3 linked regions of the Lepisosteus oculatus genome follow. The protein of the gene in region 2 purifies or fractionates together with the protein of the main gene of each other region. This does not show direct contact. Links are inferred from orthologs where the notes say so. Each region holds a gene or a part of one and is shown on either strand. Other genes may lie near its edges. The genes, in order: prkacba, cAMP-dependent protein kinase type II-alpha regulatory subunit and A-kinase anchor protein 8-like.

Evidence for each region.
Region 1: the proteins of cAMP-dependent protein kinase type II-alpha regulatory subunit (region 2) and prkacba purify together in Homo sapiens (affinity purification with mass spectrometry; 6 studies listed by BioGRID and IntAct, counting the BioPlex papers as one, with this or other methods). This does not show direct contact. The link is inferred for Lepisosteus oculatus from reciprocal best matches to the Homo sapiens genes PRKAR2A and PRKACB.
Region 3: the proteins of cAMP-dependent protein kinase type II-alpha regulatory subunit (region 2) and A-kinase anchor protein 8-like purify together in Homo sapiens (affinity purification with western blotting; 3 studies listed by BioGRID and IntAct, with this or other methods). This does not show direct contact. The link is inferred for Lepisosteus oculatus from reciprocal best matches to the Homo sapiens genes PRKAR2A and AKAP8.

The regions. Positions count from the first base shown.
Region 1 is NC_090704.1:23,463,662-23,473,806, forward strand, and holds the start of prkacba (protein kinase, cAMP-dependent, catalytic, beta a), read left to right. Parts: upstream 1-5,532; 5' UTR 5,533-5,606; coding exon 5,607-5,787; intron 5,788-10,145. UniProt on the Homo sapiens protein: Mediates cAMP-dependent signaling triggered by receptor binding to GPCRs.
Region 2 is NC_090699.1:65,619,159-65,629,431, forward strand, and holds the start of cAMP-dependent protein kinase type II-alpha regulatory subunit, read left to right. Parts: upstream 1-5,933; 5' UTR 5,934-7,370; coding exon 7,371-7,608; intron 7,609-10,273. Other genes in the region: slc25a20 (mitochondrial carnitine/acylcarnitine carrier protein), read left to right, coding at 245-349, 1,678-1,770, 1,939-2,066, 2,376-2,466, 2,558-2,675, 3,180-3,252, 3,655-3,764, 3,941-4,065 and 1 more. UniProt on the Homo sapiens protein: Regulatory subunit of the cAMP-dependent protein kinases involved in cAMP signaling in cells. Type II regulatory chains mediate membrane association by binding to anchoring proteins, including the MAP2 kinase.
Region 3 is NC_090706.1:14,032,352-14,042,683, reverse strand, and holds the start of A-kinase anchor protein 8-like, read left to right. Parts: upstream 1-5,707; 5' UTR 5,708-5,722; coding exon 5,723-5,864; intron 5,865-7,907; coding exon 7,908-7,964; intron 7,965-9,473; coding exon 9,474-9,759; intron 9,760-10,332. UniProt on the Homo sapiens protein: Anchoring protein that mediates the subcellular compartmentation of cAMP-dependent protein kinase (PKA type II).

The sequences.
Region 1 (10,145 bases), on a different chromosome or scaffold from region 2:
CTGTAAAACAGGTGCCGTCCTTCGGATGAGACGTAAAACCGAGGTCCTGACTCTCTGTGGTCATTAAAAATCCCAGGGCGTTTCTCGAAAAGAGTAGGGGGTGTAACCCCGGCGTCCTGGCCAAATTTCCCATTGGCCCTTACCAATCATGGCCTCCTAATAATCCGCCTCTATGAATTGGCTACATTACTCTGCTCTCCTCCCCACTGATAGCTGGTGTGTGGTGAGTGTTCTGGTGCACTATGGCTGCCGTCGAATCATCCAGGTGGATGCTGCACATTGGTGGTGGTGGAGGGGAGTCCCCATTACCTGTAAAGCGCTTTGAGTGGAATGTCCAGAAAAGCGCTATATAAGTGTAAGCAATTATTATTATTATTATTATTATTATTATTATTATTATTATTATTATTATTATTATTTGTGTTGTAAAATTTTAACATGACCTGACTGAAATTGAACACTTGTAGCTGTGTTTCATGGTACTTATTGCTTCCCCACATTGTCTAGATGATGAACATTTTGTTTTCACATAGATGTCTAAGCCTTTTTGATAAGCACCTTCTTAAAGCTATTTCCCATCTTAGGCAATGTGAAAATCAATACATATCACATTACATCTACATTATCTTCTGTGTTCTACCAAATAATAATGTTTTTTATATAGTATTTCCTCAACGTGCTTTGCAGGTAAAGCATAAACAAAGACAGGAATTTAAAAAATAGCACGGAGAAACAGAATGGTTTAAGATGCAGCAAAATATGCAAAGGGACAGACAGACCTCAGTTCAATAAAATGTTTATTCAGTCTCAAATTCTGTATTTGCACCTTCTATAGTAGTTGCTGACACTCATTTTTGAGAACAGTGAATGTGATAATTGTTTAAAATCTGTAATTATTTTGTTATCTGGATTCTGGTGTAAATGAGGGGTGGGAAATGCACTTTGAGCATTTACCTATTATCTACAATGTGTTTCATTCATTAGTTTTCAGTCCAAATGCTTGCCTTTCATTGATGTGCACTACTGTCAGTTTGAGAGCGGATCTTTTATAAGGAACAGGGCAGCTGTATGGAGTAGTAGGGTGCTGGACACATATTTGCAAGGTGCTGCGACTATACCCTTGAGCAAGGTATTTCACTGCTCCTGATTGCAACAGTAAAATGTGTAAATATGTGTAAAATGTAAGTTGCTTCTCTCCCCTGTCTGTCTCATGGAGAGCAAGCTGGGGTATGCAAAAATACAAATTCCTAATGCAAGAAATTGTATATGGCCAATAAAGTGATCTTCTGGTAAAAGGTCAGCCAGATAAGTTATCAAAAGCCTTCCAATCTAAATGTATTCTGGCATTTGTCACTAAGGTAGCGCTGCTGTTAGGAAACTGAACATGCTCGGTTCAGTCACAAATAGAACAAGAGTGATTTTGTTTCTGAAGTGTATTGTCCCAGGGAGGAAACACATTTCAGCATTTTCCAGTTGATCTTCAACTCTGCTATTTTGAAACACAAAGATGGGTGTTTATTGTTTCCTTTATGAAACCAAACTTTGGAAAATGGGAGGGATACCCATGCTATAGAAAGAGAGACCATCCTTAACTCCAGATCTGTGAGCTCTCTCTGCACCTTCTTCTGATATGTGAGCAGACACCCATACCGACTGGAGTAACAGGTGGGTTGTCAGCCCACCCCTTTCACCAGGAGCAGCGTGTATGCTCCTTATAAGTTATTTTCTATAGTATAAAAGCTGTCATTGTGATTTAGTGTCATATCCTGTGTTCATGGATAGATTTATAAATACAATAAACAGTAACAGTTCACTACTCAGCTTTTTTTCTTTTTTGTCAAATTTGTTTTAACTGATATTGAAATGTGAGAAAGATAAAAAGCAAGATGTAGAAATGGTAAAGTTAAAAATCACATAACCAGTCCTTGTGTCTTAGAATCTCACCAGTGCAGAATATAGGTTGGGGGAAAATGATAAAAGTAAAAGTGATATTTATTTTACTTAGCCATTCAGTTCTTTATTTTTTGCGGCACCTGCTTAATGTGCTCCTCTAATGAGATTGCTGTATTTTTTCTGCTTCCAAGCCAAATTCGGAATCTTCTTATGTTCTTGTTACATGGGTGTTTGTTTTAATTTCTTCTGTATTAATCAAAACTTTAATACCCCAAAACACCAATAGAGACTGCTGTTATGTAGGAAGCCTCCATTATAACATATTGCATATTGTTGCATATTGTAATAATCCTTACACTTATTAGTGCTTTTCTGGACACTCCACTTAAAGCGCTTTACAGGTCATGAGGACTCTTCTGTACCACCACCAATGTGCAGCCCCACCTGGATGATGCAGTGGCAGCCATAGTGCACCAGTCCGTTCCCCACACATCATGCCATGTATTTTTTTAAAAAACTGTTAATTTGTTATTGTTTTATTAATCTCTGGACTGTCAGGCCCAACTTATCTGATTGTGCATCTTTGTTGAATTTTGGCACGCTGTTCTGGAAGTTAATTAAATAGTTGTCTCACAATTAAAGAAGAGATTAGTTTGCTTGAAATTGTATGTTGAACAGTGTTTTTGAGAACTTGAGAAATTCAGTTAATTTCAGGGAGTTGTTACAGAACTGTCAAATTTCAAACCAAAAATCTTCATATTTCTTACATGTTGTACATCACTTTTAAAACCATTTTTGCAATTCTTTGTTCTTCTTGAGCAACATGAAAGCATAAAGCTTTACTGTTTGCTAGGGATAAAGTGAAATTAGAGATCAGAGATTTTTGGCTGCAAGGGTTGATTATTCAAATTCTATTTTTAATCTTTTTAGTCCTTGTCATATGAAGCCACTAGATGGCACTAGAGTACGTGTAATTGTAAGGAGACTGTGCTGTTGTATTTCTTAGCTAAGTTACGCTGTCATAGGAGAAGTTCAGTAATGTTTGGTTTTCCCATTACACAACCCTCAAAGCCTTGAGTCAGACCTCAAAGATGCCATAAAAATAAGTCCATTATTTCTTGAGGAAACATTAAATTAATTCCCTTTTAGCTGTCTCTTCACAGGATTGCATGTGTGTTCTGTGACTTCAGTAGATGTGTATTTTTGTGTCTCTACTTTTGTTTAATGAAAGCATAAATCTGTTATATGAATAAGACATGATGTACCACCTTAAAAAGACTGAATATAGGAGAATCATTATTCTCATATGTAATTTTAAGATCTTTATTTTTAGGGATAAAAGTACAACAACCGAAGGCAATATTTGTGAATTCTAATGCACAAACTAACTCCTGTACTGTTGTCCTTCCCATCATTACTGTTGATAAGTTTGAAAAACTGTTAGTGCGTCCTTTCTGTCATTTTTGAGGGGCTCTGCTGTTAATGTTATACAGTAATGGATATGAGTAATGTATAGAATAATACTGGCTGAAGGTTTTCTTTTATAAAATAGACTTTGGAGGCAAAGTACTTGCAATACCCACCATTTTCTGTATAGTTGTGCCATAAATGACTTTGATTAAGTCCACTTCCACAGTAGAAATTGGCCATGAGTTTCATTTAGTTAAGCACAATAAATGTGAGTTTTGGACAGGAAAGGCCACGAGTCTACAGCTCACGACTGAGTTTTGTGTATTGCTGCCGTTTGGTCCGAAAGTTATTTTTCTTGAGCCTGTGTTTTGTTTGGGTGAGTGGGGGGGAGGGGTCATACAAGTCACCAAGAAAGTTCAGGTCAGTACTAAGAAACAAGCAGATTCTCTTAGGTGAAATGGTGATTCCCACATGTGCTTGGTCATTTGAAGATGTAGTTCAAGCAGGTAGCTGCGTCAGCATGTGTAGGCTGCAAAGGAACATATTCATCTGAATATGTACCATGTTAATCTGCGGAGTGTACTGCAGTGTGCTACAACTTTCTTAATGTAGGGCATCTTGCAGGAGGGTAGGGCTGTAGAAGCACTGTAAAACTACAGAAAGGAAGGAGTTTACATCAAATCCTCATTGAAAAGCAGTAGATGTACAGTATTAGACTTAAATATCAGAGATCTAATAACATTTTCCAGATCAGATGTTTTTAATTAGTTTTTAAAGAGCTATTTTTTTCCTCAGTATTTTAAAGATTATTGGCTTTGTTTTGTAATGCAAGAAAACATTCGCTGAAGGGAGTTTCTGATGAAAACCACACAAGGAGGAAGTGTGGATTATTAAGATTAGACTGACTGCTTACTGTGTGCTGCTTGCAGCCCATTTTCAGCAGACATCGTAAGATAGACCTTTCAGACTTGAGATTGCCGAGGTTATTGATGACGGCACAGAGATTTGGTTTTAAAGTGTACAAGTCATGCAAGACCTGCCTTTGACTGATGAGAATATTTCATGTTATATACTTGAAGGTTCATGGTATAAATATTCAAGCAATCCTTAGAAAATCTCTCCCACTCCCCACTAATTGAACAAGTTAATCTTGTTTTGTAGCTCTTGACTTCTCTGAAGTTCAAGTTGTTGGATTAAGAGATACAGTAAGTGTTTTGTTTTATACAAGCTAGATGAATAATTATTTTTTTCACTTCACTTTCATTATCAAGAAGAACAATGAGATTTCTCCCTGTGTCAGTCCCTGGTATGGAAGCATAGCATGCTGTTTATGTTATTAAGCAGGCCTGCATCTGATATTGAGTAAAACATCGTTGCACAATCTTGTCATTGCACAATCACAATGTCAGCATGCAAAGTGTGTCTTGTGGACAGGATCAAGTGGGTGACTTTGTAAATGCATAGCAAAAAAAAAACAGGAAAGCAGCAAATAGTACTAAAACAATATTCCTGTTGTACCTAATAAACAGTATGTAAAATATGCCTTAGTATTTGGCTAGCTATATTGGAATCAAAAGTCAGTAACTGACAGGGTATCTGTAAAATGTGTGTAGTCTATTGTATAATAGCGGAGTGCTTTTCAGTGTTCTGAATGGCATTAGTATCTGCCTGCATCTAAAATGTAGACATTTTAATACTGTCAAGACATTTTGATTTTTCTGCTGGGACAGATTTTGATAGCCATTTTAAACGGCAGCTTTGTTTTGGTGCCTCCTACACACTTCCTATTTTGTTGTCTTCTTTTCGTGGTTCCAATTTACTGCGTGCTTCCAAGCCATAGTACCTTACAAAAACCTGAGGAATGTGTCATGAAAATTCCAGTTCTGTAGCTGAAAACCAGTTGCATTCTTGTACTTTTCACAGGATGGCATAGTCACAGTGGAATAACATACTGGAGAGCGGTATGGAAAAAAAAACTTGTATATGAAAGTGGACTATTTTTGGAATGTTAATAGCAACAAATCAGATTATAACACTGAACAAATACAGGAGACTTCACTTGCGTATCAAGTGAACGTTACATACTGCCATATTTATTACTTGTCTAGAACCTTTTTGAAAAGAAATTAAGCATATTATCTCTGACAGGAAGCAAAACCAATTCAGCATGCGGTAAGCCAAGTAGCAGCACAGTGCTTGCAAACAGGAAGCTTGTATCGCGCTCCTGTGAGTCAGAACAGAAACTTTGAGTTACCTTTGCACTGCAGTTGCTCAGTGTTGCTAAACACTGTCAGAGCTGTGGAATGGCTTTAGCGAAGGAGCTGCAGTGCAACCAGTGCACAGGCACCAGTTCAGGTCGTCACAAACTGGAAGATTTGGCCAGCCGTATTTTTCACCGACACCGCAAGGGGACCCAGGAGCAGAAGGCTTCAGAAAACGAGGGGCCGCATGTCTCGGAGTTCACCATATGTTGGGACAGATGGAGTAAGTGCCAGAATCTCAGAATTGATCAGACAAGTTGCAGCTCGCATGTAGCAAATAATTCTGAACTTCTTTTGTCGGCAGACTGTTCCATTGGAATAGACTTCTGTAAAATTGAGCTAAAAATATTTGATCTCTGAAACGTGTTGAAAAGAAATGTCTGGTCCTTTTATTTTTTTTTCTTGAAGTGGTATCATGAATTCTGTTAGAAGTTATTTTGAGTAAAGATGTTCCCAAGAAGTATACATTAAGACAGAGTGTTACTAATCTTGCTTTTCAGGACAGTAGGTTTTTCATTTGATCTATTTAATCTACTTAAAGAAGACAGCCGTCTTTTAACTTATTTGTATGTGTAATTTGTACAAACTCACCAACTGTTTCTTGTGATTCCGCTGTTAGAAACGGTTAAGTTTGTGATAGAATAACTTAAGGCGTTTGCAGATCAGTTTGCCAGAAAGATTAGAAGTCCTTTTATCGCTTTTTTAGAATAATCATTCCTACGTTAATGTAAAGACATGTCCTGCCAAAGCTCTTTGCTAATGTTAGTTGTGTCATTTTAATGTAAAGGAGAAATAACACCTTTTTACACCCCAAAGCTAGTTTTTTTTTCGATTTATAAATGTGGAAGTATGCGTCTTATCAGTATTTCAGACTTACGTGCAGCACTATCCTTGATAGTGTTGACTGTGTTAAGCTGCTGTTGCACTGCAATTTCCCTCATGGGATCAATAAAGTATCTATCTGTACTGACGGATCACTACAGTTCTGTCAAAAAGTATTTGCCCGCTTTCAGATTTTCAGAATTTTTGCACCATTTGACTATTATGTGAGCCTTTAAGGGTCCTAGTGATGTATAAAGCAAACCTGAGTGAACAGATAACTCCAAAATAGGGTGCTTGTTTAATTTATTCTGTAAACAGTCATCCACCATCCAATGTCCCCATGTGAAAATGGTTATGCCTCCCTAGTTCAGTCAAGTCAATGAAAGGGTTAGCTAGGGCTAGCTGTGTGAATACCTTATTATATACCTTATTTGGGCCAGCCCTGTTCTATTTAAAACTCACAAACCTTGGCTTTTATCATTACAGTGAAGTTCTTTTGATGCTTGTCAGTCTGGAAAAGGTTACAAAACCATTTCAAAAGCTATGGGACTCCACTGATCCACAGTTGAAAAGGAGACGATTTGGGACACTATTCCCAAGCGCAGCATAAAATCATCAAGGAAGTCGCCAAAAATCTCCAGAACAACATCCAAGCATCTGCAGGCCTCTCTCACTTTGACTAAAGTCGATGTTCCTGACTCTACCATCAGAAAAGCATTGGGTAAAAATGGAATTTCACTGAAGAGCAGCAAGGTGAAAACCATTGCTCATTAAGAAGAACATTGATGCTTGTCCACTAAAGCACCTGGATGACCACCCAGGCTTCTGGAGGAATGTTCAATGGATAGATTAGTCAAAAGAAGATCCTTTTAGGCAACATGGGTGCCTTTATATCTGGTAAAAAGTCAAAACTGCGTTCCACAGTAAGAACCTTATACCAGTTGTCAAGCATGGTGGTAGTTGTGTCATGGTTTAGGGATGTTTCGCTACCTCAGGACCTGGATGATACATGTTCTTTGTATTGGAGCATATCAGACTATCTTGCCAGTTGAGGAGCAGTTGGGTCATGCAACAAGACAATGATACCAAATATACAAACAAGTCTATAAGAGGATGGATGAAGAAGAACAAATTCAGTGTTTTAGAATGACCAAGACAAAGTCCAGACATAAACACCATTGAAATGTTGTGTCGAACAAGCAGTTTATGCTAGAAAACCCTCATATTACTGAGTTCAAGGAGGAATGGGCCAGAACTCCTGCACAGCGATGTGAGAGACCGATAAGCAATTACAAAAAGGGTTTGGTCACAGTTATTGCAGCTAAAGATGATGCAACCAGTTACTGAAGCTAACTTTTTCACACAGGGACTTAGGATGTTAGATTACTGTTAACGAAATAAGTGAAGCAGCAAATTGTGGTGTTATTTGTTCACTTAAATTCCCGTTTATAAATCACGTGATGCTCTGATAATATTCACAGCTACTACTGAAAATATTCAACAATTCTGAAAAACTGAAATTTTTTTTTTACAGAATTGTAACTATGACTATACCAATTGATTGGTTGCGAAGGAAATGCCACTTCTTGAAAAATAAAAAAATGCTGTTTTGGTTGCATTCTACACTTAACCTATGGCTTACAATTAATTTTAGTGTGAAACTAAATCAGAGAAAATAGTGTTCACTTCTGCTCGTTATATACTGCAAGTTGAATAAATGATACCTGGATCAAAAAACAAATATCATGCAACAGGACACCAAAACAGAACATATTGGGAATAATCGGCTCAATGATAATAAATGCTTGTTTTTCTATATGGCTTTTAACCTCTATAAGACCCTGAAGTACATTACATATAAGAAGGGATTCACTTCATCCTCCGATGAAGTACAACACCTTCCAGAGTGACATTTGGCAGTCATTATGTGCCAGCAGCCCTACTGGAGGTTAGTAAACAGTCAAAAAATATTTAACCAGTTGATTTAAGGGAGAAACCTCAAATTGGAGTTCACCCTAGGGTCCTAGCTAAATACTCTTACGAACTGGCAGAGGATTTTTAATTATAAAGTAGTCGCTACAGACGCAGTAGTGTTATGGCTCTATAAGGTGTCACAAGTATTTAAGAGGAAGACTTGCATGATGCCTGATTTTCTGCTACAAGAATACTATTTTCCTAAAACGTTTATGTATATAATGTTATTAAAAGGCATGTGCTAATAGCACAGTAATACGTGTGGAACTGGACATTACATTGTAGTGTTGTTAATACATAACTGAATTGCACCATTTTGTATATATAAGAACAGCTTTATTTTCTGTTGTATGCAAAATGGTGGAAGGTGACAGGTCTTTTGCTCTGACAAACTTCACAGTCTTACAGCTTCAGCAAAACAAATCAACGCAGTTTTGATCATGATGAAGTGATACTGTAAACTGATGGATCATTGCATCATCAGATTTTCTTAGAGATGGATTTTTGCTGATTTGTTAAAACTAGTAAACTAAAACAAATAGTTATATGGTATAGAGAATCAGTAATTGAATTAGATGATAAACTAGAATATAAAATAGAATATGTTAGTAATGCTTAAAATAGCTAAAACAAATTAAAATTCCACATGCAAACAGTTTTTCCTGGTCTTTTACATGCTTTGATCCTAATCATTGCCATGTAAAGGAGCAATAGTTTTAATCATATTTATTAAAAATATGTATTTTCTAGGATAGGAGTCTTCTATTAAGGAAGCATTTCCCAATATGGCATGGAGGAAAAGGTCGATTTTTCAGTTGCATGACTATTAACAGAATGTAAAAATACCAAAAGTGTAGGTGTAATGATTGCTGTACATGCCAGAAACAAATGACTAAAAAATAATGCCAAGTATTTTGAATAATCTTATACTTCTACAGCAGAGCCAGAATGTGGTACATTTGGAGTTTCATATTCTCTAATAATTAATGTGTGAAAGTGCCACTTTTATCATGTTTTTTTTCCAGTGTATTCACTTGTATCTTGTAAAGTGGTTTAGAAATGTTGCAACGGTTTCAGTGGTATTGCTAAAGCATTGCATTGTGCCAGCCTTTTAACCTAACTCTGATAAACAAGGTTTTAGGAGTCCATACTAAAAGAGTGTAATTTAGACAAGGGCTATATGAGATGAAAAGAAATGGAATCAAAATATTCCAGTTTGGTGAAAGTGTCCACAACAGATAAATATGGCAGGAAGTTGTGGATAATTACTGTACAATTTTAATTCAACATATCCTTCAAAAGAACAACAATGATTGTTGTTTGTGTTAGTCTATACAGATTTTGTCCCCATATGAATAGTCTAAAAAGTGACATCACAGAAAATGTGGCCTTACTGTATAAACGCAAGCAACATAAAAATGGGAGGCAAGTGTTCCGTGGTTATATATCGGTTTGTAGACTTGCAGGTCCAGTTTGTAATTTAGCTAGTGTGTATTTTCACATGCAAAAAATCATGACGCATTCTCCTTAGCACATTATAGTTTTACCATGCATTTAATATGAAATGATTGGCAAGCTAGAAGTAACTAACTGTCTTGCAACAGATTCATTTGTTAAAGCTGGCCAATGTCCTTTCATACAACAACCCCTTTAATTTTAGTTTTTTTTAGAATCATTTTATAATTGTCTCAATCAACAGTGTAATCATATGACCAAATGACTTCAGGTTGCTGATTAAAAAAAACAGTTTCCACTGTCTCTTCTGTGACGTCTGGTAACATTAGT
Region 2 (10,273 bases):
GAACAGCTGTGGGTGTTACAGTGAAAGCGGTCCGGCCGGCTATGTGGGTGAAAGGTCGGGCTGCGGAGCGGGGACACTCGGGGAAGGAGAGTTTTGCACTCGCTCTGTCACTCCCGCTGCAAACAGCGCACCGACCCGGTGCTGCCTTGACTTTTTTTTTGTCACCGATTACATTTTTATAAAAAAATTGTTTTGTTTTAAGTTTTGTTATCAACCTGCAAGAGCTTGTACTGTCCTCCCAGCCATGTCCAAACAGCAGCAGCCGATCAGCCCGCTGAAGAATTTCTTCGCTGGGGGCTTCGGGGGCGTGTGTCTCGTGTTCGCGGGGCACCCCCTGGACACGATCAAGGTAAACTTCACGGGGGGTCACGGGGGACCCGAGCGACTCGCCTCGTGTTTGTTCTGCATGTGTTTCTGACACCGCTGGGACACTTAAGTTGAATGTTCTTAAATGCTTATTGTGATCTAGAGTGGATTTTTACTTCTTAGTATTTTATGTTGGGAAATGGTGTTTCCTCTTATTTACTGGACACGTATCGCCCCACTTTCTGCATCTTTGGGGACACGCTGGACGCGCATACTGTGAACCCCGGAGCTGTCGGGGTCGCAGGACGTGTTTTTCTAACTCCTCAGCCTCGGAGGGGTGGACTTCGGACTCGCTGAGCGCTGCGACCGGAATATTTAGGGAGTCGCATGCCCCGCATGCCCGCACAGTAGCCGGCGATGTTGGTATTGTGATTATTTGTAACGCGCCTTCACGTCCCTCAGTCGTTTGGAACGAGACAGTATTATAAATGATTATAGTTGGTGTCGCGGTCCCACTCAGATAGTGCACGCTGTGACCTTTACCCCAGTTTCATATCTAACCCATAGGATAAAGAAACGACTTCCCACGTCACTCTCGTCGCCAGGGGGTTGGAGATGAGCCTGTGATCTGCAAGCTCAGGTCTCCCTAACAGCTTGCCAAGCAGACAGTGCGGCTCCCGTTGCATAGCGGACCGATCCGCTCCGGGTTTTACTACCTACGGGGCTCTTCGATACAAGCCAGAACTGGGTGCAAGAGATTTCGAGTTTGACCTTTTTTTGACTGCATGTGTATGGTCAAAACAAGGTGAAATAATAAAGGCCTTATCCGTCCATTTTCTGACCAATTCAGGGTCGCAGGGGGGCCAGAGTCTATCCCAGCAAGCAACGGGCACAAGGCAGGGTACACCCTGGACGAGACGCCAGTCCATCACAGGGCACACACACTCATACTCATACTCACACTCACACTCACACTTACTCACACACACACACACACTCACACTCACACAGACACACTCACACAAGGGCCAGTTTTCCCAGAAGCCAGTTGACCCCCCCAGCATGTCTTTAATCTGTGGGAGGACACCCACACAAACGCGGGGAGAACATGCAAACTCCACACAGACAGCACCCCAGGTCTGGAATGGAACCCGGGGCCCCAGCGCTGTGACCACTGCGCCGCCACGCCGCCCGGGCCTTTAAAAAAAAGTGGTAAAATGTTCTAAAAAATGCACCTTCAGCCCTGAGCGCTGCCGTGTCTCCCCGGCAGGCGGAATCGCTGCAGCTGGGGTGCTGAGGGGGGGGGTCAGATCTCTCTCTCTCTCAGTCTAACCCCCCCCCCCCCCCGTCCTGTCTCCATCTCTCCTGCAGGTGCGTTTGCAGACGCAGCCCAAGCCGAGCCCTGGCCAGACACCCCAGTATAAAGGCACGTTTGACTGCTTCAGGAAGACCTTCGTCAAAGAGGTGTGGGGGCTGGAGACCCTTACCTGGGGGGGGGGGCAGGAGGGTGAAGGAGATAAAGGGGGGTTGAAAGTGTGGCTGGTAAGAGAGCATGTGGGGCGTTAGACACCCCTTGTTAGGTTTAATCATTATCTGTCTCTTCCCCTGTTCCTCTGTCCTTCTCTCTCGCAGGGGGTGCGGGGGCTGTATAAGGGGATGGCTGCCCCAATCGTGGGGGTGACCCCCATGTTTGCCGTCTGCTTTTTCGGCTTTGGCCTCGGCAAGAAATTGCAGCAGAGGAGCCCCGATGATGTGCTGACGTGAGTGAGACCCCAAAGCTCCCCCCATAAATTCACCACAGAGCTTTGCGTAGTGCACCCCAGGAGTATTTGCGAGCGACGCTCTGTAAACCCAAATATGTGCCTGAACTTCTTTGTCCTCTTGTCTCCCTTAACTCTTTCATTCCCCATCCCTCCCTCTCTTTCCTGGTTCACTCCCTCTTCCATGTTGTCCAACTCTCTTTTCCTTCTCCCCGCCCCTTCCTGCCTTCTCCCCGCCCCTTCCTGCCTTCTTCCCCCCTTCTCCCCGCCTCTTCCTGTCTCCTCTCCATCCTCTGCCCTCTCTCTCAGGTATCCCCAGCTCTTCGCAGCGGGAATGCTGTCGGGAGTCTTCACCACTGCCATCATGGCTCCTGGAGAGAGGATCAAGTGCCTCCTGCAGGTCAGGGCCGTGCCCCACGGGTGTGAGGCTGGGTTTGAGCCGAGAGCGCTGTGTGGTTGAGTGACAGCGGGTTTACTCTGTGGCCCTGCAGATCCAGGCAGCCTCGGGGGAGGTGAAGTACGCCGGGCCGCTGGACTGCGTGAAGCAGCTGTACAGAGAGAGCGGATTGAGGGGCGTCTACAAGGGCACGGTGCTCACTCTCATGAGAGGTACTGACGAGGGAGGGCCCTGGGAGACCCACTGGGAGACCCACTGGGAGACCCACTGGGAGACCCACTGACCCATTGGGAGACCCATTGGGAGACCCACTGACCCATTGGGAGACCCATTGGGAGACCCATTGGGAGACCCACTGACCCACTGGGAGACCCGTTGGGAGACCCACTGACCCATTGGGAGACCCATTGGGAGACCCATTGGGAGACCCACTGGGAGAGAGACTCTAGCACTGAGAGAGACACTGAGAGACACACTGAGAGAGACACTGGGAGAGACACTGAGAGAGAGAGAGAACGTATTTGTTTTTTTTTTGTTATACGTCATTTAATTTGTTGTTGCTGCTGCTGTTCTGTCTTTATCTTTTGGGCGATTCCTTTGATGTCTGTGTATAGGAGCGAACGTGCAAATAAGCATTTCATTGCGCCTGTGTGTATGACAAACGAACCGAACCGCGAGACTGAGACCCTGATACCGGCGCTGTCTCCCTCTCTCAGACGTGCCGGCCAGCGGGATGTACTTCATGACGTACGAGTGGCTGAAGCACATCCTGACTCCCGAGGGCAAAAGGTCAGCGCCCGTGCCCGTCTCTCTGCAGCCGCGCGGGGGGCTGGTCAGCAGTGCCCCTGACCGGGGGGGGGGCTCATTGACCCCCCCCCAGAGACGACACAAGTGTCCCGGGCACCGCTGGGGGCTGGGGGTGTGATATCCAACCGCTGGGCCCAGAGCCCCAACATGCAGTTCTCTGGTCACCGCTGGCCCAGATGTGGCCGGGGACCCGCGGGCCTGACCGGGTCGGTCAGGGGGCGTGTGCCTGGGGGGCCCGCCGCCACCTGGCGATCTGGGGCTACTATAATCGTACGTTTGGATCGGGGTGCGTTCGGGCTCTCGAAACCAGGCCGGCTGAACAGAACGGGGAGGAGAGCTGGCCCACTGACCCCCCCCCTCTCCCCTCCTCTCCTCTCTCTCCAGTCCCAACGAGCTCAGCGTCCCCAGCGTGCTGTTTGCCGGGGGCATGGCGGGCATCTTCAACTGGGCAGTGGCCATCCCCCCGGACGTGCTGAAGTCCCGGTACCAGACCGGTGAGACGGGTCGTGGGCCGGTGGAGGGAGGGGTGGGGGAGAACAAGAAGGGGTCTCTCTCTCTGCTCAGGGGTCAGGAGGGGGTGGAGAACAGAACAGTCCACTGAACTCTGACTGGGGGGGGAGAGGAGGGAGGGGTGTGCACTGACCCGGTCCCTCTGCCCCTCTGTCCGCAGCGCCGGAGGGCCGGTACCCACATGGTTTCCGGGACGTCCTGAGAGAGCTGCTCCGCGAGGAGGGCGTGGCCTCGCTGTACAAGGGCTTCACTGCTGTCATGCTGCGTGCCTTCCCTGCCAACGCTGTGAGTCTCTCTGGCCAGACTGGGGCCACTGAGCCTGTCCTCTCTGGGCAGCCAGGTCTGCCTGTGTCCAGTGTCTGTGTCCAGACTGTGGCCACTGAGCCTGTCCTCTCCGGACAGCCAGGTCTGCCTGTGTCCAGGCTGTGGTCACTGAGCCTGTCCTCTCTGGGTGGCCAGGGACTTTCCCAGTTCTGTTGAATGCATATGGACAGTGTTTCATGTGTATAAACCTGCTGAATGAGTGTTCTCCTGGTATAAATCTATCTCCCCCTTTCTCTCCCTCGCTCCCTCGCTCTCTCAGGCCTGTTTCCTGGGGTTCGAGGTGGCCATGAAGTTTCTCAACTGGATCGCTCCCAGCTTGTGAGCGCCGCCCTGCTCTGCCCTTTGGGGCAGCTGGAGGTCAGGACACAGACGCACCTGTGGAGAGAGGGACAAGAGCCAGACCTTTGCAGTCCTCGGCTGCAATATCTTTTTGATTGTTCTCGTTTTTCATTCGAAATTGCCTGTTTTTTTTTTTAACGATGGCCTTTAACTGAGACTAAAAAAAATGATTTAGAACACTTTGCCTTAAAAACCTTCCTGAATGTCAAGCAAGCAGTGCGCTAAAATACAGGGAATACCAGTGTGTGTATATAGAATATATACTGTACACCTGTATATATGTGTATATGTACATGCCCTCCAGTGTGTGTGGAGAGGAACATTTATTGACCCTTCTAAGCTACAGTTCTGACTCTGGTTTAAACCCAGTTATCAAACGAGCCTGACCCCAGCACTTGTGTGTATTTGGTTGTGTTTGTGTTATTCTGCCTTTATGTAGCTGCCACTTTTTATCCAAGGTGCTAACTGGACGATGAATGCGCTTGCACTACAGGAAGCAGGGCAGTAGGTTTGCCTAACAGCATCTTAGAAAGAAAGTCCTCTAACCCGATCGCAGTACGAGGCGAGCCGCTGCAGCCGTGAAAGAGCAAGGGGCAGGTTAACGTGTCTGAACACGAGGGTGCAGCACCAGGAGTGGCCACCAGAGGGAGCCCTGCGCACACGATGCACCCCCGGACCTGGGACCTCTAGCGCAGCGTGGGATAGCCCACCGATGTGCACGGTCAGCCGCATTAACAGTGACCCGCTGCGCGGAGTTCACCGTCTGGTACCGGCCCACCTAATCAGATACGAAAATAGAACGGCTTTAATTACCAGGATTTCAGACAAAGCCGACTGGGTCACGAGGGATTTACGCAATGTTACGAAATGGGGTTAAAGGAAAGGAGGCGATGATCGATCCCAGCGCACCCAAGAAGAGTGAAAACGAAACGCTGGCGTGCGCGAATGATGCACCCTGTACCTTACGCCGCAGACCTGCCCCGTGCTAAAGCCTTCGGGCGGGCGTATGCTAACGAGCTTTGGAAATGCCGTTAGTTACTGGCCAAGCGGTGCAATCGGGATCCAGCTTATCGATCACGCTTGATCAATCGGAGTGCTCCCTGCTTTGCCAGGCGCGGTGTCAAACACACCTCCAGCCCCTCCCGCGTTCTCGGCTTCCCCTTTCGTGACGTCTCCTCCCTGCCTGGCCTTCCCATTGGCTGCGCCGCCGCCGCCGCCTTACCTCGTTTCCGATTGGCCCTCTGTTACACAAGGCCCCCCTCACTCGCCCGCCCCCCGCCTCCGCTCATTGGTCCCTTCCGATTCCGCCACCGGGGCCCCATTCCCTCCCCTCCCGCGCGCGCGGGGCGATAACGCCTACTCCATGCCCAAATAAGGGAAAATTCTTGGCGTCGGCTTGGCCGGGCCGGCTCCTGATTGGCGGGTAGGCACGTCGCTCAGCGGCTTCGCCCGGGCCCCTCCTCCTCCTCACTGCCGCTTCTGCAGCTCCGGCCGAGGAGAGCGAGGGTCTCGCCGGCAGCGGCACAGCGAGGGAGACGCGGAGAGAGCGGGAGACGACTGTAAATATCAACAAGCGGATAATTCGTGTTCGAGTAACTGACTCAAGAAGAAGCCGGGCACGCCGGGGACTCCTGTCCCGGGAGGAGGAGGGGGGACAAAAGTCGGGTTTTGGTCGGCGGCGGCAGCAGCAGCAGAGGGACGCTCAGAGGGACAGACAGCCCGAGCCGCAGCCAAGGGTTTATCTTGACTTTTGGACTGACGCCTTTTTTTTTTTCCTCTCCTCCTTGTGACTTTGCTGTATTTTGTTTTTTTTTTAAAAAAAGAGAAAGCCACCCGCTCTTCGGGAGCTCCCGCGTCCCCCTTTCTCCCTCTGTTGGCGGTGCGGAGCGCAGAGGCGGGCGGGCCGGTCCAGGCGGAGCGGGGTGGACGGCGCTCGCAGCCCCGGCCGGCCTGCTCCTCCCCGGTCTCGGCCCTTCATGGTCCCCGGCGGCCCGGGCGCTCGTCACGGGCCAGGCAGCGAGGGGGCGCCCCGGAGGAAGGGGAGGTAGACGGGGAGACCCGCAGAGGAGGCTGTCGAGCCGGGGAGTTACCTCGCAGCCTCGCCCGAAGGGGCTGGTCGCCGCCGCCGGACCGGAGACGCGGGCGGATAGATCGAGAGATAAATAAAGCCCACAGCCTCACGACAAGCCCGGAGCGGTGAAGTCGGCGGGGTCCCCCATACCCCCCAAAAAAAAAAAAAACCTGCCCTCCAGCCGGGGCGGTTTACGCGCGCGCGAGCCGAACGTTTGTTTTTTTTTTCATTTAAAAAAAAAACTTTTCCTCGCCTCGAGCGCACGGGGGGGGAAGGGCTCGAGCGGGGCCTTAACCCGACCCGGCCACGAGCCAGCCGCGCCGGGGTTCGTAAACACCGCCGGTTCCGCACGGAGCGGCCCGGGCTGCTCGTCTGCGTGTTCCTCCTCCTCCTCCTCCCCGAATAAACCAGCGGGTCTGAGCCGCCGCCGCCGCTTCAGGAGGATCTGTGCGATTTGGAGCTGTCAGAAAACACGTCCCCGCGTGTCTGTGTGCAGCTGCTCCCCACGACAGAGTATTCCCACTCGTGTGTGCATCGTGTAATCGGCTTGCCGTACGCGTGCTCGTGTTACGTTAGGTATTATTTCCCAGTCAGGGGGCACCGTGTTGTGTTATTTTTTTTCTCCCCTCTCTCGTATTGCATGCACTTCAGTTTCAACAACAACAGAAAAAAAAAATATTTTTTCCCGACCCCGCCCCCCCCCCTTCATTCCTGCGCTATTTTAAAACGCTTTGTTTTTTTTTAAATCAAACAAAAGCTGACCCGACCCCTCCTCCAGACCCCCACATACACACTCGCACACCCTCCTCTGAGGGGTGAGTTCACAGGGGAACGAAAATAAACCACAGGCAGCGCCATGAGCATCGAGATCCCGGCCGGCCTGACGGAGCTGCTGCAGGGCTACACCGTGGAGGTGCTGCGGCAGAGGCCGCCGGACCTGGTGGAGTTCGCGGTGCAGTACTTCACCCGCCTGCGGGACGGCCGGGCCGGCAGGGCCCCCGCCAAGGCCGTGCTGTTCGACGGCGAGCCCATGCAGACCGAGTCCAACGGGGACGAGGGCGAGGAAGACGACGACGACGACTCCGACTTCGAGCGTGAGTAGCGCCGCGTCCTGCGGGATCGTGGCCGGCGTGCCTGGGCGTGGATTGAGTCGGCGAGCGGATGGGCTTGTTTGGGTTCCTTGGGTATCGAGGGGGTTAACGAGCCTCCATAGGTGCGCGTCAGGTCAGGGGGGGGTGAGTCGTGTGTCGCCCCTCCACAGAGCGAAGTCGAGCTGAGGTGCACGGGTCTCTCCTCATTCCGCGCAGTCCCAGCTCAACAGGTCGTGCCCCACCCCCCTCACACTGGCGTGGACCCAGTACCTGACATCTCCCCCCCGCGCGTTGAAACCGTGAGAGCGGTCCACGCGGGTGCGAGACGAGCTCCGAGCACGCCCGCCCCCCCGCTGCTGATGATGAGCCGTGTCAGTGGGCTGGCCCAGTCTCGGCACCGGTCACTGACAGCGGCGCACCTGTGTGCTGAGAGAGAGTCTCCCACTCCTGCGCAGGTGTGATGATGGTGATGCTCCTCTGAGCCCGGCTGGGTTTCTCTTACTGGCGGAGAGGGTCTGTGTGGGTCCGGTGACCAAGGTCTGAAGTCATGGAGGAGCTGGGCCACTGTCACTCTGCTCTTTAAACAGGCCTGTCCCTTCAGCCCTGGTCTCAGTGGTCAGTGTGTGAGGGGTGTGAAAATGAGCCTGTGTGAGAATCCGTCAGTCTGCCAAGCTCCTCGTCTGGGCTGCTGGTGTGATCGAGCGATGGCTTCTGTGTGACTGGAGGGCAGCTCTAGAGTGGGGGCTGAAAGCCTGGGAGAGCTCGGCACCAGCAGTCTGTCAGCAGAGTTTCCTTGTGTTGTGTTGGAAGAACAAATGTTTGCCGAAGGGCCTTGGGAGTTTTTTTTTCTTCAGCTGAGCAAGATCCCTATGAGCTGTGTGTGTGTGCGTGCGCGCGCGCGCGTGAGAGAGAGAGAGGTGCTGCAAAATGAGCTCTCAAGATGTTTTTGAACTTTGTCGACACGAGTGAGACAAGTTGCAAAACCAAAATTAGCACTGGGTGCCACCGAGCTGAATTGAAGCGAATGGTTGGGGGACAACCGGTGGGGTGTTGGCTGCAGAATCCGGAGCTGTGCAGCGGCCTGAGGGACAGTGACCAGACAGGGCCCACTGCACTTCGGAGACCGGGCTGAGAGAGACGGGGAGGCATCTGTATCCTGGCGCGTTGGTCTTGGTCATGTGTCGTGTGTATACGTTTACTGTGCTGTATATACCAGTACACTTGCTGCTTGGCACTGGTGATATACAGTTCTTGGTTTTATCCACTTTTTTGTGTTTGGGATCTTATTTTAGGTTTATTTTTAGCTACAGTCCCAGAGAGAGAGGCTTGAGTCTTGAGTGAGATGGTGAAAAGCAGAGAGGTGGCGCTCGAGGTGGAAGGGGAGCGATTTGGGCAGGAGAGAGGGAAGGGGACAGACAGAAGTCGGCTTCCTGCAGATTTCTCTTGAAGTTACTCTCCATCACGTGACTGTTTTTTCTTAATTTGTTTCTGCGCAGTGGGTCGTCGATGTCTTAGTCTCTCTTTGTGGCCAGCCATCAGGCGAAATTGATTTTGCGACGTCTGGTTTATCGCTCTGTTTTCATTGTGCGCTGTGTAACAGTGGGTGAGGTGCTGTGCTGGTCACTGTTGCGCCTTGGTAATACTGCGGTCAGCCAGGCCAGCACAGCACAGCTCTCCGCTCCCAGTCACACTGGAAACCCCGCGAGGCGGCAGGAGAAGTAAAACGCGGCACTCCCCTGCTTTGCTAAGAAAGAGGAAGAGGCTGTTCTGACACAGGTGTGTTACTCTCCGTCTTCCTCACTCTGCCTCCTGTGTGGAAGCAGTGACATCCGCTCTGTTCCCGCTGAACGGCAGACAGGTGGACGGTGCGTCACGGGAGACTGAAAAAGATCAGGGTCCCCAGCTGCTGTTTCTCCTCTTCCTCAGAAGAGGCTGCTCTTCTCTGGGCGGAGAGAGGGAGGGGTCTTCTACCCCCCCGTGGGGCGGAGAGAGGGAGGGGTCTTCTACCCCCCCATGGGGTGGAGAGAGCGAGAGTGGAGGGGTCTTCTACCCCCCCCGTGGGGCGGAGAGTGGGAGGGGTCTTCTACCCCCCCCGTGGGGCGGAGAGTGGGAGGGGTCTTCTACCCCCCCCCGTGGGGCGGAGAGTGGGAGGGGTCTTCTACCCCCCCCCCCCGTGGGGCGGAGAGTGGGAGGGGTCTTCTACCCCCCCGTGGGGCGGAGAGAGGAGGGGTCTTCTACCCCCCCGTGGGGCGGAGAGTGGGGGGGGTCTTCTCCCCCCCCGTGGGGCGGAGAGTGGGGGGGTCTTCTACCCCCCCCGTGGGGCGGAGAGTGGGGGGGTCTTCTACCCCCCCCGTGGGGCGGAGAGTGGGAGGGGTCTTCTACCCCCCCCCGTGGGGCGGAGAGTGGGAGGGGTCTTCTACCCCCCCCGTGGGGCGGAGAGTGGGAGGGGTCTTCTACCCCCCCCCCCCCCCCCCCCGTGGGGCAGAGAGTGGGAGGGGTCTTCTACCCCCCCCCCCCGTGGGGCGGAGAGAGGAGGGGTCTTCTACCCCCCCGTGGGGCGGAGAGAGGAGGGGTCTTCTACCCCCCCGTGGGGCGGAGAGTGGGGGGGGTCTTCTCCCCCCCCGTGGGGCGGAGAGTGGGGGGGTCTTCTCCCCCCCCCCCCCCCCCG
Region 3 (10,332 bases), on a different chromosome or scaffold from region 2:
TCGCCCCCCGTCCGATCCAACGACAACGTCACCACAGTCCGATCCATAAATAACGATAACGTCACCACCGTCGCCCCCCGTCAGATCTAACAACGACAACGTCACCACCGTCACCCCCCGTCAGATCTAACAACGACAACATCACCACCGTCACCCCCCGTCCGATCCAACGACAACGTCACCACCGTCACCCCCCGTCAGATCTAACAACGACAACATCACCACCGTCACCCCCCGTCCGATCCAACGACAACGTCACCACCGTCACCCCCCGTCCAATCCATAAATAACGACAACGTCACCACCGTCGCCCCCGTCCGATCCAACAACGACAACGTCACCACCGTCACCCCCCGTCCAATCCATAAATAACGACAACGTCACCACCGTCGCCCCCGTCCGATCCAACAACGACAACGTCACCACCGTCACCCCCGTCCGATCCAACAACGACAACGTCACCACCGTCACCCCCCGTCCAATCCATAAATAACGACAACGTCACCACCGTCACCCCCGTCCGATCCAACAACGACAACGTCACCACCGTCACCCCCCGTCCAATCCATAAATAACGACAACGTCACCACCGTCGCCCCCGTCCGATCCAACAACGACGTCACCACCGTCACCCCCCGTCCAATCCATAAATAACGACAACGTCACCACCGTCGCCCCCGTCCGATCCAACAACGACAACGTCACCACCGTCACCCCCGTCCGATCCAACAACGACAACGTCACCACCGTCACCCCCCGTCCAATCCATAAATAACGACAACGTCACCACCGTCGCCCCCGTCCGATCCAACAACGACAACGTCACCACCGTCACCCCCCGTCCGATCCAATAACAACAACGTCACCACCATCACCCCCCGTCCGATCCAACAACGACAACATCACCACCGTCGCCCCCCCGTCTGATCCAACAACAACGACAATGTCACCACTGTCGCCCCATCTGATCCAACGACAACATCACCACGATCGCCCCCCATGTGATAAAACAACGTTACCACTATCGCCCCCCGTCCGGTCCAACGCCAACAACATTACCTCCGTCATCCCCAGTCCGATCCAACAACGTCACCACCATCGCCCCGTGTCCGATCCAATAACAAAGATGTCACCACCGTTGCCGTTGCCCCCTGTCCAATCCAACAACAACAACAACATCACCCCCCCCGTCTGATCCAACAACAACAACAACAACAACAACAACGTCACCACTATCGCCCCCAGTGTAATCCAACAACAACGACAACGTCAGCACTATCGCCCCCTGTCTGATACAACTACATCACCACCACTATCGCCCCCTGTCTGATACAACATCACGACTGTCGCCCCTCTGTGGCAACACCACCGCCATCGCACCCTGTCCGGCGAGACAAACATCGCCGCCAAAATCGACAAGCGCAGACACAGCAGGAACACCTCCAGCGACAGCAACATGCGATTGGTGAGGACTAGGGGCCGCTCCTCCGGCGGGCCTCGCTCCGATCCCGGAGAGAGGCGCCTTCCCGGCGGGCGAGCGCAGGTCAGACTGTCCTAAATTCGAAGGTGTGTGTGAGTGTTTCTGCACAGTCCGCTGGGAAACAAGTCTCCGCTTTTGTTTTGTTTTTTATATATATATACAGACATTGCGGGAGCCCCCAAGGACTGCCATGCAAGCCAGGGTCTGGCATTACTTAGTAAAATATCCAGGAAAAATTAAAGTCGCTCTTTCTCGACTCGTCCAGCGAGCTAAGCCAAAGCCAAGGCTGTAATCGGGGCTCTAGTCTGGTATAAACAACGCCTGGAGGGAAAAAAAAAAGACAAAACCGCCCGGTTCTGCGCAGGACTGCTAGTTCAGTACTTACGGGAAAAATGGCCTGGTTGCGTTTCAAGGAGTTAACTCCTTGGCCCTTTAAACAACGCCGTGTTGCATGCTGTAATCTTTTTTTTTTTTTGCGTGTGTTATGCGTGCGTTTTCTGTGCGTGTGTGTGTCTCCGTGTCGCTGCTATTTAGCTGTCACTGGGCGCGTTCGGCTGTCCTCGGCTCTTCCCGGATACGAGCGGCGCGACTCCATAATGCTCCCCGCAGGCCCGCCGGGGTGGCGGCGGAGGGGCAGGCATGACCGCAGCGGGCCGCCATCTTGAGTGTGGCAAACCCGGCGCTTCCTCGGAGCGCGGCAAAGGCTCTTTGATTTATTATTAGCAATAATAATAATAATAATAATAATATTAATAATAATAATAATAATAATAATAGCACCTGTAAAAGTGGCTTGTCAAAGCAGTTTGGGATAAGAAAAAAACAAAATGAGAGGAAATCAGTAACCTGAATCAATGAATCCATTAGACCCAGTGTGTGACCACCAGTGAGGAATCAGAGACACTGTGGCCCCACAGTGACAGAGTCTGAGGCCCCTGAGATCCCGGAGTGTTTCCATCCGCGGTCCGCTCCACAGAATCGGACACCTTCCAGCAAGGATACGAACACGTGTTCATCTGTTTATTAAACAGGTCAGAAATACGTGAAAAACTCTGTAAAACGACTTCTCCGGGCTGTCATTTCCAAACGTCTCCTGTGAATGTTCGGACCACCTGCCGACACGTCTGGAAAGTGGACACACTTGTTAAAATGCGTCAGCTGCCTGGCGGTGAAGAAAGAGTTGAATTGTTGTAATAGCCTCGCCAGATCACGTCTCTGCACAGGTGACACTTTCTCTGCGCTGTTTGTGAGAAATGACGTTAAAATATAAGGTTTAAGCCCACAAGGGCTGCAGCTGCAGGCCCAGCACCTAAGAGCCTGAGGGAGGTGTGGGCTTTGTGCAGCCTCTGTGCCCAGCGACCTGACCAGCTTTCCCCCACGCCATACAAACCTCAACACAGCAGCCATATCACCCTGCAACTCACGACTGGCAGTTGGAGCTCAGCAGGTGTGAGTCCGGCCAGTACCTGGGTGGGAGACTCCTGGGATAGCTAAGGCTGCTGCTGGAAGAGGTGTTAGTGGGGCCAGCAGGGGGCGCTCACCCGGCGGTCTGTGTGGGTCCTAATGCCCCAGTATAGTGATGGGGACAGTAAAAAGACGCCGTCCTATGGATGAGATGTAAAAAAATGGGAGTTTCTGTGGTCATTCAAAATCCCAGGGCGTTTCTCAAAAAGAGTAGGGGTGTTAATTCAGTCCTGGCCAAATTATATTAATTAATTAATTAATTAATAATAATTGCTTACACTTATATAGCGCTTTTTCTGGACACTTCTCTCAAAGCGCTTTACAGGTAATGGGGACTCCCCTCCACCACCACCACCAATGTCCAGCATCCAATGTGCAGCATCCTGGATGATGCGACGGCAGCCATAGTGCTCCAGTACACGCACCACACACCAGCTATCAGTGGGGAGGAGAGCAGAGTAATGAAGCCAATTCATAGAGGGGGATTATTAGGAGGCCATGATTGGTAAGGGCCAATGGGGAAATTTGGCCAGGACACCGGGGTTACACCCCTACTCTTTTCGAGAAACACCCTGGGATTTTTAATGACCACAGAGAGTCAGGACCTCAGTTTTACATCTCATCCGAAGGACAGCGCCTGTTTACAGTATAGTGTCCCCATCACTATACTGGGGCATTAGGACCCACATGGACCACAGGGTGAGCGCCCCCTGCTGGCCCCACTAACACCTCTTCCAGCAGAAGCCTTAGTTTTTCCCAGGAGGTCTCCCATCCAGGTACTGACCAGGCTCACACCTGCTTAGCTTCAGTGGGCTGCCAGTTGTGAGTTGCAGGGTGATATGGCTGCTGGGGTCAGTGGCCCCCACTGGCCTCCCAATAACCCCCATCTCTGAACTGGTTTCATCACTCTGTTCTCCTCCCCACTGAGAGCTGGTGTGTGGTGAGAGTATTGGTGCATCATCCAGGTGGGGCTGCACACTGGTGGTGGTGGAGGGGAACCCCATTACCTGTAAAGAGCTTTGAGTGGAGTGTCCAGAAAAGTGCTATAGAAACCTAAGGAGTTGTTGTTGTTGTTATTATTATTATTATTATTATTATTATAACCTTGCGCAGTACAACAGTCATCACTGCTTCCGATTCCGACCACAAAAATCCATCCATACCTTCCCAGACACATCCACCTTTTTGGTCTTTACAACTCCATCCCGGAGGAACTTCCAAATATTTTGAAATGTCTGGTATTTTCCATTCATTCATTTTCCATACACAAAAAAATCTACTATCCCTATCCTCAATGTGAAACAAAAATGCACAAAAGTGCAAATTCACTGCAGAACTAAAGACAAATTTACCTGTGTTTTCAAAGAGGTAGACAAGAATGGCATGCTCAGTGACTGGCATGTAGACCTCATACATATATACTTATAATTGCGATATATTGTTAAAAACATCTTCGAATGTTTGGGGGAGACAGAGCCTATCCCAGCAAGCAACTGGTGCAAAACAGGATACACCCTAGATGGGACGCCAGTCCATCACAGGGCACACAGAGACACTCACACCTGGGCCAACTTTCCCAGAACCCAGCAGCATTTCCTTTGACTGTGGGAGGAAACCCACACGAAAACAGGGAGAACATACAAACTCCACACAGACAGCATCCCAGGAACTGGGCCCAGGACCCCCGCACTGTGAGGCAACAGTCCTGGCCACTGTACCGCTCTATTATGTATACATCACGTACCATTATATAGCGGTAATTAACACGAGTGTCCCCTTGAATGTTCAGAAAAGGAGGGTTTTCGAGAGAGCAAAACGCAAAGAATTGCTGGAAGGGAAATAACTGACTCGGTCCTGAATTTGTACAATCCGTCGCCCCCGCTTACCCTACCGCTTCTGGAAGTCGACCCTAGTCCTGGAGCCCAGACGGTACCGCCTCTTCCCTGGGGGATTCTGGGGTCAGGACGGCGTGGGGGATTAGGGTCTCCAGTTCACCAAACTGAGGGGCCGAGCAGGACGGCGGGAGCTGCCCCAACACCCCAGGCCGTGTGTAAGAGACTCGTCTGTCGCCACGCTCGGCTCGGTGCTGTTCGGGCGATCGCACTGTGCGAGTACAGGAGTCCAGGTTTTAGTTCCGCAGTGAATTTTCCTGTTGATATTGTACATTCAGCGCAATCAGGCGCGGGCAGGTCTGGTGCTGGACTGGCTCCAGGCAGGGAGCTCAGGTTTCAGTTTTAAGACTGCATTCAAATAACGCACTTTATTGGGTGGAAAAGTGATCCGTATGTTCTGATGTGGATTATTTTAAGTAGGGGCGTATAAAACTCACTGAAATAGTACTGACAAGTACTACTTCATCCTGACCTGTTATTACACCCGTCACATTTTTTTTTACAATCCCGTTCTGTGTAAATTAATTCATTAGACGTCTTTTTGCTTGATGAACCCCAAACCTCCTCCTACTTGGTGACTGGAAAAACAGCATCCAATAGGAAAGGCGCGTTACAGGCAGTGGCGCGTTGATTCGACAATGAATACGACCAGCTCCACCAATCAGAGATGAATCCCCCCTCTCCCGCTCTTGACTAACGGGCACATGGTGACTAACAGGAATTCTAACCAATGACAATGCAAGTGAATTGTGATTGACACTAGTATTGGCCAATAGGACAACTCATATGCTCCTTCCTTAAGGCAACGCTTCGTTGACGTTAGCTTCCACCCAATCGCTGCAATCCAGCTGCTGATGTCGTGGATGACTGATGCCTCTACAAACCAATGGGTGATGCTCAGGTCAAGCAGTCGCCCAATGAGATTGTCCCCTGGGCAGGGTTTTTCCGTAGCGGGTTCGCCCCTTCCCAGGCTCTTCGAGTTGGTTCCAATGAGAAGACGGGGAGAATGGATGGCAACGATTACGGAGGTCAGTCAGGAAGAAATGAACCTTTAAGTTGTTTATATTTCTACATTTTTCATAATAATGTAAGGGGTTCCGTGCCTAACACTTAAACACTGCGGTGCGGCTCCCTTGATCAAAATCCATGTCGCAGAAGCTGGTTTTAAACGCAGTGCATTTGCATCTATGGACGTTGTTCGCTTTGCTAGCTACGCACTTATTTTTGTATCTTTTGCTGGTTTCAACAAAAAGAAAACGCTAACCGTCCCCGAAATCGTTGTTCTGTCTGCGTGAGCCCCCCGTATTCCCCGTGCCCCATACCTGTGCTCTCTGTGCTAGTCTGGAACCACGCAGTTCTGTAATGTCGGAACATTTTTATGGTATTGGACCCGAGACGCTTTCAGCCCGGTTAACAGCCCTGCGCAGTGCAGACTGGTGAGGTGTAGGCACCCTGGCAGAAATACAGCGGGGTTCCGGGCGGTTAACGTTGCAGCGTCGATTATTCAGGCTTTTAGTTGTCCGGACGTTGACAGCCGGTTCGAGATCGGAGTCGCGGCTCTGCAGAGTCAATCACGGAGCCAGAATTGGTCACGACTGACCTGCCGAGCGTGCTAACTTGCACAATGATACACTGCACGCATTGAATCGCGTTGATTTTGGGGTTTCTCGTGTCCTGATGTGTGAAAGCAACGCGCTGACGGTACGGACTCGAAAGGAGGCGTGTTGCTGTTGGGGGGGCGGCGGCGGCGGCGGCTTCTGAATACAATTATTATTTTTGCTTTCTTCAACTCCGTTCCTTCGCAGCGTTTGCACCGCGCCGTGCTCGCCAGCAGCACGGAGGCTGTCAGTGTTGTTGTTGTTGCGGAGGGGTGCCGCTGGCGAGCTGCCGGACGGTCGCTGGATTCGCAGCTCGACTCAAAATGGCCGCCTCGCTACCTCTTCTCCTCCTGTCACGTCGTGCGAGAGGCCGGAGCCCTAGTCGCGACGGCTTGTGGGCGAAATAACTGCTCCCTCGAACCCCGGTTTTCCGGTCCAGCCCGGACCCGTGCGGGGCGTTACAGCCGGCCGGGTTGGCGGCGGCCTGTACGTGTCTTTGTGCTGACGGGAGTCCGTGCGGGGGGGGGTGGGGGGGATGGCTTTGCTTAATTTTGGAAAATGGAGGCGAGAGGGCAGCCTGGTCCGAGACCCCAAGACAACAGGGGCTCTGACAGGTCGGGTGCTCGCAGCGTAATCTGTGTCACCCGCAGGGAGGGTGTATGGAAATGTCCGACAGTCTCCCTGTCTGTCTCAAGTAGGGGTGTCTGCAGCTCCGTACCCCATTTCCCAGGAGCGCAAACTCCAGCTTTGATGAAGTAAGCGAGTCACAAATTCATTTAGGATGGCAGGGTAGGGCAGCAGTCCGCACTGCTGCCTCTCAGTCCTGGGGACCTGGGTTCAGTTCCTGGGGTGCTATTTGTGTGGAGTTTGCATGTTCCCACCCGCCATTCACGTGGGCGTCCTCCCACAGTCCAGAGCGATTGCTGGTGGGAAGATTGGTCCTGGTGTGAGTGCGTGTCCAGTGATGGACAGGCGTCCCTTCCAAGGTTTCTCCCTGCCTTGCACCCATTGCTTGCTGGGATAGGCCCGAATTGGAAGAAGTGGTCTGAACAGGGATGGAGAGGTGGGCCTGTCCGATGAGGAACCACAATGAAGGTCACACTGAGGCTGTCCCAAACCTTCGGAAAGGGCGTGATATAATGGTGACCCCCTAAAACCGGCAGAATCGGAGAAGGAGACACCCTTTCCTGTGGTGGGGCCTCGGAGAGGGTTGAGCTGCAGGGGCCAAGAGTGGAGGAAACAGGCTGGTGCTGCTGAGGTGTTCGAAAAGGGATGGATTCAAGAAGTGTTACTGATCCAACACGCAGACGCACCCCTGTGCCTGCGCCGAGCCGGGGTCTGTGTGCGTCTGTGTGCGTCTGTGTGCGTCTGTGTGCGTCTGTGTGCGTCTGTGTGCGTCTGTGCCGGCCTGCTCGTGTGCGCTTTGCGCAGGGGGACAGGCCTCACAGTCCTGTGTGCTGTGCTCTGTTGCAGGCTATGGCTCCTGGAGTACGGCTGCCAGCGTGAGCAGTGCCGAGGTCGGTGCCTCAGGTAAGGTTTCACGACGCCGGCGTGTCCGGTCCTGCCGGGCCGGGCCGAGTCTCCGTTCGGGTTGGTGGGTAAAACCTGAAATGGATCAAACGGCTTTGCGGCAGGAGTCTGATTCTCATCTATAAACAAGATGTGAGATGGATGTGGAAACGGGAAAATGAATCGGTCTCAAAGGGGACTTCCTTCTGATCCACTCCAGGTCTGTAGTGTTGCTAGCAAGATTCTCAGTGCACAGCAGTCTGATCCAGTCCAGGCTTTATTAACATTGCCAGTGGGATTCTGAGTGCTCAGCAGTCTGATCCAGTCCTGCAGAGCGAGAGCGAGGCCTTCACTCACTCACGTCTTTGTGCCGCCGTGGTCGTCGGCGTCGTGCTCCCCGTGGTCCGACGTTGTCACGGGCTGGCCCAGTTTAGCCTGGACGGGACTGGTTTGGCCCTTCTCCGAGCTGGAGCGCAGTGTATCGCTCTCGGAGAGGTGGAAGCGCTGCTGGGTTCTGAGCCGGAATTAGGGTGTTGCAGCGTGATCGACCCTTTTCCCGGGAGAGCTGCCCTCTCTGCGGGGCGCTGTTCCTCCGTTGTGCACCACACTCCAAGCTTTGGAGCTCAAGTACACATGCTCGTCTGTCCAAGGGCCCTGCAGTTGGGAAAAATCCGGACTGCTGCGCTCAGGGACTAGTGGGACAGAACAGTGTTAAACCAGCACTGGATCGGACTGCTGTGTGCTGGGAGTCATGGGCGAGACCAGTGTTGAACCAGCACTGGATCGGACTGCTGTGTGCTGGGAGTCATGAGTGAGACCAGTGTTAAACCAGCACTGGATCGGACTGCTGTGTGCTGGGAGTCATGGGCGAGACCAGTGTTAAACCAGCACTCGATCGGACTGCTGTGTGCTGGGAGTCATGGGCGAGACCAGTGTTAAACCAGCACTGGATCGGACTGCTGTGTGCTGGGAGTCATGGGCGAGACCAGTGTTAAACCAGCACTGGATCGGACTGCTGTGTGCTGGGAGTCATGGGCGAGACCAGTGTTAAACCAGCACTCGATCGGACTGCTGTGTGCTGGGAGTCATGGGCGAGACCAGTGTTAAACCAGCACTGGATCGGACTGCTGTGTGCTGGGAGTCATGGGCGAGACCAGTGTTAAACCAGCACTGGATCGGACTGCTGTGTGCTGGGAGTCATGGGAGAGACCAGTGTTAAACCAGCACTGGATCGGACTGCTGTATGCTGGGAGTCATGGGCGAGACCAGTGTTAAACCAGCACTGGATCGGACTGCTGTGTGCTGGGAGTCATGGGCGAGACCAGTGTTAAACCAGCACTGGATCGGACTGCTGTGTGCTGGGAGTCATGGGCGAGACCAGTGTAAATCGAGCACTGGAACTGCTGTGCCCTGGGAGCCTGTTAGTGGTAACGTTAGGGTGCTGTTGCTCTGTCCGCTGCAGTGGCTATAAGCTGCAGCTCCAGTGCCCGCAGTGCAGGGTTAAGGTCCGGCTGTGTGTGTGTATCCCAGGTTACGAGGGCTACGACTACTTCAACGCGCAGTCTGCAGGAGCTGCTGGCCCCCCCCAGCCCACGGACTCCTACGGCTACGGCGGCTCCTGGGAGGCTCCCCAGGCCGAGTCCGTCCCGGGCTCCGTGAGCACCGGAGAGGGGGACGGGAGCCATGGCGTCTCCGAGGGGTCCACGCCCAAGACGCCCAAGCGCAAGAAAGAGAACCCCGACTCCCTCATCGCCAAGATCAACCAGCGGCTCGACCTGATGTCCCGGGAGGGGTGCGAGGGCGACGGCGATCAGAGGTGAGGCCCGCCGCTGCCTGGGCACTGTGCTGCTCTACAGCCCCTGGTCCTGCGTTTGCTTCTGCATGGGGGCACCGTCTGTGTGGAGTCTGCGCGTTGTCTCCCTCTGGCTGCTCCCGTTTACTCCTGCGGAAGCGCTGACTGAGGCATCTGCGGTCTTCGCTCTGCCCCTGGTGCGCCCCTTGCTGGACGGGCGTCCCGTCCGGGGTCTTGACCCTCCTTGTGCCCGGTACCTGCCGGATGAGGCTGTGGCTCACTGTCTGAGGTGGCTCTGCCTGAAACCGGATGCACGGGTGAGAGGTGCCAGTCGGGCACGCCGCCCCCCGTGAACCCGTTGCCTTCAGGCACACAGCGGGCCCCTGCGAGCCCAGCACTCAGAGGGGTATCCCAGGGGGGTAACTGGGCTGCTGAGCCTGTGAGATCTGCCGCATGGGGAGTCCTGGCCACAGCTGGCTCTCTTTCTGTGTGTCTCTGTGCATTTCTCTCTCCCTCTCCCTGTCCTTCTCTCTCAGTTCAGTTCAAGGTGCTTCATTGGCATGACCGATGGGTACAATCAGTGTTGCCAAAGCACAT